Linked DNA regions of Saccharomyces cerevisiae S288C. The gene in region 2 interacts genetically with the main gene of each other region. Each region holds a gene or a part of one and is shown on either strand. Other genes may lie near its edges.

Region 1 (7,560 bases), on a different chromosome or scaffold from region 2:
TATGACAATTACTAATTTCGATATTATAGATTTACAAAAAACTGTTGTAGATATGTTTGGCAATCAGGTCCATACTTTCAAAAGCTCAGCAGGCAAGGAAGATGAGGAAAAAACTACCAGCTCGAAAGCTGACGAGAAAACTCCGAAGTTGGAATGTTGTAAATACCAGGTGACTTTTACAGACCAGAAGGCTCTTCAAGAGCACGCAGACTATCATTTAGCATTGAAACTGTCGGAAGGCTTAAATGGTGCTGAAGAATCATCCAAAAACCTTTCTTTCGGGGAAAAAAGATTGTTGTTTTCACGGAAAAGACCAAACTCACAACATACTGCCACACCTCAGAAGAAACAAGTTACATCTTCCAAAAACATCTTATCATTTTTTACAAGAAAAAAATGACCTATTCCAAATAGACAATTATATGGCTTCAGCAACTAAAACGTCCTGATAATATTGCTTTTCCAAAATTTCTAAATGATTCACGGGCGCCAGGTTTTGTTGATAAGAAGAACGAAGTACCTTTAATATCTTATGATCGGAAAATACCGACTGATGACTTTTGAGACTTCGCTTTTGATCAAAGTGATAACATTATGTACAATATTCATACTAGGATTTCTTGATAGAGATTTGGAAGTCTATAAAAAAGAAACAACTTGTTATAATTTATTTTTGTAGACATGACTCACAGAATATTACATACCTTCATAATATATAAGATCCATGTGATAATGAATGCTGGAAGCATGATCTCTGACCTCAGCTGATTGTTCAGGGGACTTAATCAATTAGATGCGTTTAAAGCAGGAATTGGTTTGATACACACAATCTCATGTTACAAAGTAACGCTGTTTAAAAACAAATCTGAAGAATAATAATGCAAGTAATATTATACATCATAAAAAAGTTATACACTATCATTACTCTTCTGAAGACCAGATTACAATACAAATTAAGGCAACTTGGCCGAGTGGTTAAGGCGAAAGATTAGAAATCTTTTGGGCTTTGGCCCGCGCAGGTTCGAGTCCTGCAGTTGTCGTTATTTTTAATGTTTTTATTTGGTAGCAACAAAATTTGTCAGTCAATTTCTTTTGTTTTTTTCTTTAAAAGGTGTAACAACGTTATCACTCAAGTATTCGTTTCTTATTATCAAAAGTCTTAGACTTTCTATTAATAGCAGTTTGTTCTTTTCCACAACGCGCTAAAGATATTTCGCTTTCTGACCCGTTTGGTTGCAGAAAATTTTTTTAACTAATTTAGGAATATTTAGATTAGTTAATTGGAGGGCTTATTCAAAGACAGTAGTTACAGCGATTTAAAAGCAGTGTCCCTCGTAGGCACCTGTAGTCATTTCATTCGTTTGGATATTTCGCTGTACTGCTTCCTGCATTGTAATCAAGAGAAAGTTTACAACTTAGAGCACTAACTTTGTTTGTAAACATTTTCCGTTTATAATCAATTGCCATATCATCAATTTTATTATCATTCTTTAACCAGTAACTAACTGATTCCGCACCCACATTATTGAAATTTTTGCGATATCTTTTTCCTCAACTGACGCAGTCAACAGTCAGAAACAGAGAATGTATAAAGATGGTCTCATTGAAAATAAAAAAAATTTTACTCCTGGTGTCATTGTTAAATGCAATCGAGGCCTATAGTAACGATACAATATATTCAACTTCATACAATAATGGAATAGAAAGCACACCCTCATATTCAACATCCGCGATATCCAGTACCGGATCTAGCAACAAAGAGAATGCAATAACATCAAGCTCTGAAACCACCACAATGGCTGGCCAATATGGTGAAAGTGGAAGCACAACAATAATGGATGAACAAGAAACTGGTACGTCCAGCCAGTATATTAGTGTGACGACGACAACGCAAACTTCTGACACGATGTCATCAGTAAAAAAGTCTACGGAAATAGCGACACCAAGTAGTAGCATTGTACCCACCCCTTTGCAGTCCTATAGCGATGAATCACAAATATCACAAACGCTTAGTCACAATCCGAAGTCCGTGGCGGAGTCAGATAGCGATACAACCTCCTCGGAATCCTCAAGTAGCGTAATAATATCCACATCCGATAGTTCAGCGGTACCGAGGGAAATAAGTCCAATAATAACCACAGATTCTCAAATTTCCAAAGAAGAAGGCACATTGGCTCAAACTTCCAGTATCAGTGAAACAACGAGAATTGCACAAATGGTAACCAGAGTTTCACAAATCTCCAGCATAACGGCAGCTTCAACAATAGATGGCTTTAGTAGTGAATCAACACAAACAGATTTTTCCAACACTGTATCGTTTGAAAATTCAGTCGAAGAAGAATATGCCATGAGCAAATCCCAGCTCTCTGAAAGTTACAGTTCAAGTTCAACCGTCTATTCTGGAGGGGAGTCGACTGCAGACAAGACATCTAGCTCCCCCATTACCAGCTTTTCATCTTCTTATAGCCAAACAACGTCAACTGAAACCTCTGAGAGCAGCCGAGTGGCTGTTGGAGTATCCCGGCCCTCTAGCATAACGCAAACTACATCAATTGATAGTTTTAGTATGAGTGAAGTAGAGCTTTCCACATATTATGACTTAAGTGCTGGCAACTATCCTGACCAAGAACTGATTGTCGATCGCCCGGCCACTTCTTCCACTGCCGAAACATCTTCAGAGGCAAGTCAAGGTGTAAGCCGTGAATCTAACACTTTCGCAGTATCTTCGATTTCCACGACAAACTTTATAGTTAGCAGTGCTTCGGATACTGTTGTTTCAACTTCAAGCACCAATACAGTGCCATACAGCTCTGTCCATTCAACCTTTGTTCATGCGACTTCCTCGTCGACTTATATTTCTTCTTCCCTTTATTCTTCCCCATCCTTATCTGCATCCGTTTCCTCTCACTTTGGCGTTGCTCCTTTTCCATCTGCTTACATATCTTTCTCATCAGTACCCGTTGCAGTATCCTCGACGTACACGTCTTCACCATCGGCTTCTGTTGTAGTACCTTCTGCCTATGCGTCTTCACCATCAGTACCCGTTGCAGTATCCTCGACGTACACGTCTTCACCATCAGCACCTGCTGCAATATCCTCAACGTACACGTCTTCACCATCGGCACCTGTTGCAGTATCCTCGACGTACACGTCTTCACCATCGGCACCTGCTGCAATATCCTCAACGTACACGTCTTCACCATCGGCACCTGTTGCAGTATCCTCGACGTACACGTCTTCACCATCAGCACCTGCTGCAATATCCTCAACGTACACGTCTTCACCATCGGCACCTGTTGCAGTATCCTCGACGTACACGTCTTCACCATCAGCACCTGTTGCAATATCCTCAACGTACACGTCTTCACCATCGGTACCTGTTGCAGTATCCTCGACGTACACGTCTTCACCATCAGCACCTGCTGCAATATCCTCAACGTACACGTCTTCACCATCGGCACCCGTTGCAGTATCCTCGACGTACACGTCTTCACCATCAGCACCTGCTGCAATATCCTCAACGTACACGTCTTCACCATCAGTACCCGTTGCAGTATCCTCGACGTACACGTCTTCACCATCAGCACCTGCTGCAATATCCTCAACGTACACGTCTTCACCATCAGTACCCGTTGCAGTATCCTCGACGTACACGTCTTCACCATCAGCACCTGCTGCAATATCCTCAACGTACACGTCTTCACCATCGGCACCCGTTGCAGTATCCTCGACGTACACGTCTTCACCATCAGCACCTGCTGCAATATCCTCAACGTACACGTCTTCACCATCGGCACCCGTTGCAGTATCCTCGACGTACACGTCTTCACCATCAGCACCTGCTGCAATATCCTCAACGTACACGTCTTCACCATCGGCACCTGTTGCAGTATCCTCGACGTACACGTCTTCACCATCGGCTCTTGTTGTCCTGTCATCTACTTCCACATCCTCTCCATATGATATTGTTTACTCTCCATCAACTTTTGCTGCCATATCATCCGGTTACACGCCTTCACCTTCTGCTTCTGTCGCCATGTCATCTACTTCCTCATCCTCTCCATATGATATTGTTTACTCTCTATCATCTTCTGCTTCCAGATCGTCCATTGCTACATATGAATTTTCACCTTCCCCATCTACTTCTTTACCCACCTCTTCTACTTACACATACTTTTCATCTGCTTATGCGTTTGAATTTTCTTCTGAGCGGTACTCAACAACATCCACAATAGCACCAACTCAAATACATAGCACATTGTCCAGGATTACGGATTTCTTACTGCAGACTTCGATGGCAATCCAAAGTATAGTCTCTCAGCAAATTTCTACAAGCTCAACTTTAAATGACGAAATACATTCAAGCGCGCTTTCCGTTTTCAACCCTTCAGCTTCGAATTTGGTTGAAACTTCTCTGATAATTTCATCGACCCAAGCAAGCATAACAAGCCCCAAAAACTCAGCTAAAATTAGTTCACTACAGAGCCAGCTGTCTAGCAGTACAAAAAATCCATACGATACGGCGAACAAGAATACTGAGACCAGTGGCAGATCCACAGTTGTTTCGAATTTCCTATACACATCTTCCGCGGCGAAACCAGACAATGAAAAGTTTTCCGCTACTCCTACAGAGATAACTACAATTTCAAGTAGCTCGCACGCATATTCTTTATCTATTCCAAGTTCTCATAATTCTGTGACTGGACTATCACATAACTTTGTCGATTCGTCAAAAAGTGCAACCTCATTTGGCTACTCATCCTCATCAATATCTTCAATAAAACTTTCAAAAGAAACAATACCTGCAAGTAAATCTGTTTCAAACACACAAGAAAGAATCACAAGCTTTACATCAACATTACGAGCAAATAGTCAGTCTGAAAAATCCGAAGGGAGGAATTCTGTAGGTTCTTTACAAAGTTCACATATTTCATCTAACCCATCGCTCTCCACAAATACAAAGGTTGATTCGAAAAGTTTATCCAGGAAAGTATCGAAAACCATGGGCGAAAATGGCGAGGAAACCGGCTTAACCACAACAAAGACGCAATACAAAAGTTCTTCTGAAACCAGTGGGTCATATTCTCGGTCTTTTACAAAAATCTCAATTGGACCTGCTACGACTGCAGTTCAAACTCAGGCAAGCACTAATTCAGTATTCACAGCCCCTGCCTTGTCTACCTATCCTACTACTCCGTACCCCTCTCCAAATAGTTACGCATGGTTACCTACCGCTATTATAGTGGAATCATCCGAAACGGGCCCCACTACCGCATCATTCAATCCGTCAATCACTGGTTCACTTCCCAATGCAATTGAACCGGCCGTCGCTGTATCGGAACCCATTAACCACACTTTAATTACCATCGGATTCACGGCCGCTTTGAATTATGTATTTTTGGTTCAAAATCCATTATCTTCGGCTCAAATCTTCAACTTTTTACCTCTCGTTTTGAAGTATCCCTTTTCAAACACCTCATCAGAACTGGACAATAGTATTGGGGAATTATCCACTTTTATTCTTTCATACCGGTCTGGGAGCAGCACAACTACCCTTTCCCCAAAATCCATATCATCATTATCAGTTGTCAAGAAAAAAAAAAACCAGCAGAAAAAAAATGCCACGAAGTCAACCGAGGACTTACATCCTCCACAAGTCGACACATCCTCAATAGCGGTGAAAAAGATTGTTCCCATGGTAGACTCTTCTAAGGCATACATTGTATCAGTTGCAGAGGTATATTTTCCAACAGAAGCCGTAACATATCTTCAGCAATTAATCCTTGATGAAAATTCGACTCTTTATAGCAATCCTCAAACCCCACTGCGAAGTTTAGCTGGTCTAATAGATAGTGGGATCCCATTAGGGGGATTGACGTTATATGGCTCTGGAGATGGTGGTTATGTCCCTAGTTTAACCTCATCAAGCGTCTTGGATTCTTCAAAAGGAAATTCCCAAAACATAGATGGAACTTACAAGTATGGAGCTTTGGATGACTTTATCAATTCATTCACAGATTCTGCATCTGCAGGAAAGTATGCTGTAAAAATAATCATCTTTTTGATTGTTTTAACTATTGGCGTACTCTTGTGGTTATTCGTTGCATTTTTTGCTTTCCGTCATAGAAATATATTATTGAAAAGACACCCAAGGAACTGCATAGGGAAAAGCCTCAATAATGAGAGGGAACTTGAAAGTACCGAGCTTTCCCGCTCTTCTTCTGGAAACCAAGTTTATAATGAAAAGCCGCCAGAATCTGAAAATGAAAGTGTTTACTCTGCGGTAGATGATCATTATATTGTGACTGGCGAAAACACAGTCTATAATACTATTCACAGATTACATTATACCATTAATGATGACGGTGATCTATTGTACAGGGACGCAATCCCCCTCGATTTTGATCAAACCAATGGGGATGATGGTTCGGGAATAGACAGTATAGTAAGAGACTGCGTGTATGACAAAAACCAAGATGCTACGGAAGCCTTCTTGAATGATGAGGAGTCCATATCAGGCATTCTAGATGTTGATGAAAATGGTGATATTCGATTATACGACAGTTATTCTGACAATGAAGAGTCAAACAGTTTTCACTTGCCAGACGAAGTTATTGAAAACTATAACAAGAACCATTTGTGCGAAACTAAACTTCATGGACTAGGCACTGAATCATGTACTACAGATGATCCCGATACTGGAAATCAAATTACGAATGAGTTTTCTACAGGGAGTCAGACATGTTTGCCAAGTACCGCTTATACCACACCCCTTCATACAAATTCGATTAAACTTCACACATTACGCTACACAGAATCTTCACTACCAAAGCCAAATCAGACTCTTTTCTCTAATCTTGAAGATTTAGAAATAGAGGATATTGACGACAATGGTAGTGTTTCAGATGTACATATCGAGGAGCTGGATGCTTTAGACGAAGAACTTTATAAGAGAATGTCGAAAGTTATAAAACAACAGAACCATCAAACGACAAAAATATAGCGAAAAATGATTATTGACTGTGCAATAAACGCTGCTGGAAGGGGCGCTTGCAACAAAAGATGATCACAAAAATTGATACCCATTAATACACATAGGCTCACGCCATTACTATTATTATATATATCATCAAGTATTGCATTTGTAATTTTATGAGTCCTTCTTAGTAATACATGAAGGCTTTTTTTTAATATTTTCGGAATCAACGAGAGTACACTATTCTATCCGATGATAACCGAGATAAATGAAGATAGTAACTAACCAATGAAAAAAGAGCGAGAATAAATTAAAGCAATAATATCAAGTTAGTCGTGGGAATATATGATCCACGCATAATAAGGTTACATTAAGCACTGCTTTATCCTCTATGTCTGCTAAGAAAAGGCCTTCGGGAAACGCAGCATTTGAACTTCCAAAACGGAGAAGAACCTACCAAGCTTGCATCAGCTGCAGATCAAGGAAGGTGAAATGTGATCTTGGTCCGGTTGATAACCCACACGACCCACCGTGTGCACGTTGCAAAAGGGAGCTAAAAAAATGTATTTTTAGCTCTAATAAGG
Region 2 (4,912 bases):
CTTGACTATTCATCTACATATGCATTTCACGCGTAAATAGGTTGATCTACAAACTTTGAATGAATTTTTCCATTGGCTCGTTGCCATTTACCAACGAAATGGTTTTTTTCACTGTTGCATTTGGATGTAGCAAGCTTTCCACAATAAAAGAAGCTACATCCTCCCTGTTAATGGAGTAGTTAACAGAAGCCTTCTCTTCTAATTTGTCAAGGGGTTGCAAAAGACCGGTACCTTTATTTAGTTCCAACGATCCAGGCTGTAAAATAGTGTAATCCAAATTAGAGTTTCTAACCTCACGATCAGCAGATCTCTTTGCAATATAGTATTCACGCAAACCCTTAATGTTATACCAAAAATCTCTATCCTCCGCCTTGAGCGCTGAAACAACAACGAACCTTTTGATACCAGCCTTTTCGCATGCTTCAACAACTTTGATACAGCCATCCAGATCAACCGTGAAAATTCTTTCCATTCCTTTACCACCCGCACCGGCGCTAAAGACCACGGCATCATAAGCCTTAATAGCGTCTGTGATCTCACTAACGGACGCGTTTTCTATATCTGTCAAACTAGCATCAACACCTACTTCATTCTTGAAATAATTGACTTGATCCTGTGTTCTAACAATCGCTAATGGTGTTGAGAAACTATCGTTGGCCTTCAATTGGTTTATCAATAAACGTCCAACTTTACCACTGGCACCGACAACCGCAACTTTCATAGGAGACATGGCTGTTAAGTCAATAATATATGAATACCGATGATATAACTTCAATGAATTTTTATTTGGAGGGAAAGTATCCTATTATGAGCGTCACGATGGGACTTTAAATATATATCCCTACTTCGAGTGTACCCTTACGTAATACTTGCAGCCCCTTGCTGTTGACAGCGCGATACAATTTTCGTACTAAACAATCACAGAGGTAACAGCAAAGTTTGGAAAGTACTTTTGTTGGAAAGTTATTACGGCCACTAACATTGTCTCGTCGTATTATTAAAAGCTATAACGTCGTATTTCTTTGCTCGCTTGTGTTTTGTGATACAGGAAACACACACCAACAGGTTCACCGAGGGCTGTTGTCTGTCTTTGTACTTTAACTCAAAGAACTTCTGTTTCACGATTTGTATTAATAGTTCTTGCAGGCTACTAGGCTGAATACGTTAAAATGGTTAGCAACGAATATAACCAGAAATACTTCGGGTACAATTCTGATACGTATATTTGTAGATATGTCTCGCTTGATGTTGCCAACTTTGTCAAAAATGGTAACGTATGGGCACACGGAATGTGCTAATCCTCGACTTTGCTCTTTCGTAAACCAATTTGATGCAAGTGCAGCGTGGTCTTTTGAAAGTGCATTATCTCATTGGGCGATGCGAAAACTCTGCCTACAGAAGTTCGCCGTTAGATAATTCTGATTGTAGAAAACCTACCAAAGAGAATAAACTAAAGTGTCATCTGCTAATTTATGATCTTATCGTCTGAGTGATGATGTATGTTTCTCTTTGTACGGTTCGTCTTGTGCTCATGTACGTAACATCCTCCATATGTGTGAATTATTTTGTCCGGCGTCTTGTTTGAATATCCCATCCGGACGTATTTCTTTATAGGATAACGCATGCACATATCGGTTCGTTCAATAAGAAAGTCCCTTCTGGTATTATTCGGTGTCCTGTAAGATCTATATACTAATCACCAAGCTATCTGGTGTCACATTGTGAATACATTTGTCTTTTGGTCCATTTTTCCCCATCATTTTCTCGTGAAAACGATCTCTAACTTTTGCCACTATAGTTTTAAAGGAAAGATTTTGAGCTGCCAACGAATACAATATAGCACACTCAAGAGTCTTGGCAAGCAACTTTAAAGTTAGAAAGAGTACTAATGTTGCTACTTTCTTGGTCAAGAATTGCTACTAAGGTAGTTAGAAGGCCCGTTCGCTTCCGGTCCTATTACGGCTTGACCCATATCAAGAGTTTACATACTCAATATCGGCTACTCAATAGGCTGCAAGAGAATAAGAGCGGTAACAAGAACGAGGACAATAACGAAGACGCTAAACTTAACAAAGAAATTCCCACAGACGAAGAGGTTGAAGCAATAAGAAAACAAGTAGAAAAATATATCGAACAAACTAAAAATAATACTATACCGGCTAACTGGAAAGAACAGAAACGCAAAATTGATGAAAGTATTAGGCGTTTAGAAGATGCTGTATTGAAACAAGAATCTAACAGAATTCAAGAAGAAAGAAAGGAAAAAGAGGAGGAAAATGGTCCTTCAAAAGCCAAGTCAAACAGAACAAAAGAGCAGGGCTACTTTGAAGGTAACAATAGCAGAAATATTCCACCGCCACCACCACCTCCTCCCCCAAAACCACCTCTAAATGATCCTAGTAATCCTGTATCGAAAAATGTTAACTTATTCCAGATAGGACTAACTTTTTTCCTCCTTTCGTTTTTATTGGATCTCCTCAACAGTTTGGAAGAGCAAAGTGAGATAACGTGGCAGGATTTTAGAGAGAAACTATTGGCAAAAGGTTATGTTGCGAAGTTGATTGTTGTCAACAAGTCCATGGTGAAAGTGATGTTAAATGACAACGGAAAAAACCAAGCCGACAATTACGGTCGCAACTTCTATTATTTCACAATTGGTTCAATTGATAGCTTCGAACACAAACTTCAGAAAGCACAGGACGAACTGGACATTGATAAGGATTTCAGAATACCTGTACTATATGTTCAAGAAGGCAATTGGGCTAAAGCTATGTTCCAAATTTTGCCAACTGTTTTAATGATTGCAGGTATTATTTGGTTGACAAGAAGATCGGCACAAGCAGCGGGCGGTAGCCGTGGAGGCATATTTGGTCTGAGTCGTTCTAAGGCTAAAAAATTTAACACTGAAACAGACGTTAAGATCAAGTTCAAGGACGTTGCCGGATGCGATGAGGCTAAGGAAGAAATTATGGAGTTTGTTAGCTTCTTGAAAGAACCTTCTCGTTATGAAAAAATGGGAGCTAAAATTCCTAGAGGTGCGATTCTATCTGGTCCACCAGGTACCGGTAAAACTTTGCTTGCAAAGGCAACAGCAGGTGAAGCCGGTGTTCCGTTTTATTTTGTTTCTGGTTCAGAATTTGTAGAAATGTTTGTTGGTGTTGGTGCAGCAAGAGTAAGAGATTTGTTCAAAACTGCAAGAGAAAATGCACCCTCAATTGTGTTTATTGACGAAATTGATGCTATAGGAAAAGCAAGACAAAAGGGTAATTTTTCAGGTGCCAATGATGAGAGAGAGAACACGCTAAATCAAATGTTAGTAGAAATGGATGGTTTCACTCCAGCTGACCACGTTGTTGTTTTAGCTGGTACCAATAGACCCGATATTCTCGATAAAGCATTATTAAGGCCTGGTAGATTTGACAGGCATATCAATATCGACAAGCCCGAACTTGAGGGTAGAAAAGCCATTTTTGCTGTTCATTTACATCATTTGAAACTTGCCGGGGAAATTTTTGATTTGAAAAATAGATTAGCGGCTTTGACGCCAGGCTTTTCTGGTGCTGATATTGCCAACGTTTGTAACGAGGCCGCCTTGATTGCTGCTAGAAGTGATGAAGATGCAGTAAAATTGAATCATTTTGAACAAGCTATCGAAAGAGTCATCGGTGGAGTGGAACGCAAATCCAAGCTACTCTCTCCCGAAGAGAAGAAAGTAGTGGCTTACCACGAGGCTGGTCATGCTGTATGTGGATGGTACTTAAAATACGCAGATCCTCTTCTGAAAGTCAGTATTATTCCACGTGGCCAGGGCGCCCTTGGTTATGCACAGTATTTGCCAGGTGATATCTTCTTACTAACTGAACAGCAACTTAAGGACAGAATGACCATGTCTCTGGGTGGAAGAGTTTCTGAAGAATTACATTTCCCATCAGTTACAAGTGGCGCATCTGATGACTTCAAAAAAGTTACTAGCATGGCCACGGCAATGGTCACAGAATTAGGCATGAGTGATAAAATTGGCTGGGTCAATTACCAGAAGAGAGATGATAGCGATTTGACAAAACCATTTTCGGACGAGACAGGTGACATTATTGATTCCGAAGTATACAGAATCGTCCAAGAATGCCATGACAGATGTACAAAGCTGCTTAAAGAAAAAGCAGAAGATGTAGAGAAGATTGCTCAAGTACTACTGAAAAAAGAAGTTTTGACAAGAGAAGATATGATTGATTTACTTGGTAAGCGCCCTTTCCCAGAAAGGAATGATGCTTTTGATAAGTACTTGAACGATTACGAAACGGAAAAAATCAGGAAGGAAGAAGAAAAAAACGAAAAACGTAATGAGCCTAAGCCATCTACAAACTGATTGATATTTCACAATACAAAGAAATGGAGGAAGACTGTTCTACATATCTTGCTTATTTTATTGAAAGCCAGACATCTTTCTTTTTCGGTAGAACACTGTCACGTATTTACCATATAATCTAATCTGAAAACATGTAAATATATATACGTGTATAAATGCACCTATATCTATATATGATCAAAGCGCTTCTGTGAGGCTGTCATTGGTTAATACACGCGATCTTTTTTTTATCGCTGATTCCACGGCTTAGCCTATCTTATCTTCAGTATTCGCATGATACACTTTTTCACTGCGTCGTTTTGTTGGATGATATCTGTCCGACAATAAACGTAGGTCATCTTAAGGGCCGGTGATAGAGAAGAGCATGCGGTTCCACTTTAGGCCAACCCACATTCCCAAAATATAAGAATACAGCAGCGATTTTTTTCTATCGAATTATTTTGTTTTTTGTCTCCTCTTTGTTCTTCACTAAGCTCAGAGCCCTAGTTGTTGAGGGAACAAGAAGAATGCAAACACTAGACGAGACTTCAAATCTACTCCCTCCAC

The links.
Region 1: mutations in YTA12 (region 2) and HKR1 are lethal when combined (synthetic lethality), as found in Saccharomyces cerevisiae (one large-scale study listed by BioGRID).

Annotation. Positions count from the first base shown.
Region 1 is NC_001136.10:1,304,673-1,312,232, forward strand, and holds HKR1 (Hkr1p), read left to right. Parts: upstream 1-1,594; coding exon 1,595-7,003; downstream 7,004-7,560. Other genes in the region: RAD30 (DNA-directed DNA polymerase eta), read left to right, coding at 1-400; ARO80 (Aro80p), read left to right, coding at 7,368-7,560.
Region 2 is NC_001145.3:445,063-449,974, reverse strand, and holds YTA12 (m-AAA protease subunit YTA12), read left to right. Parts: upstream 1-1,888; coding exon 1,889-4,366; downstream 4,367-4,912. Other genes in the region: YMR090W (uncharacterized protein), read right to left, coding at 47-730; VBA1 (Vba1p), read left to right, coding at 4,873-4,912.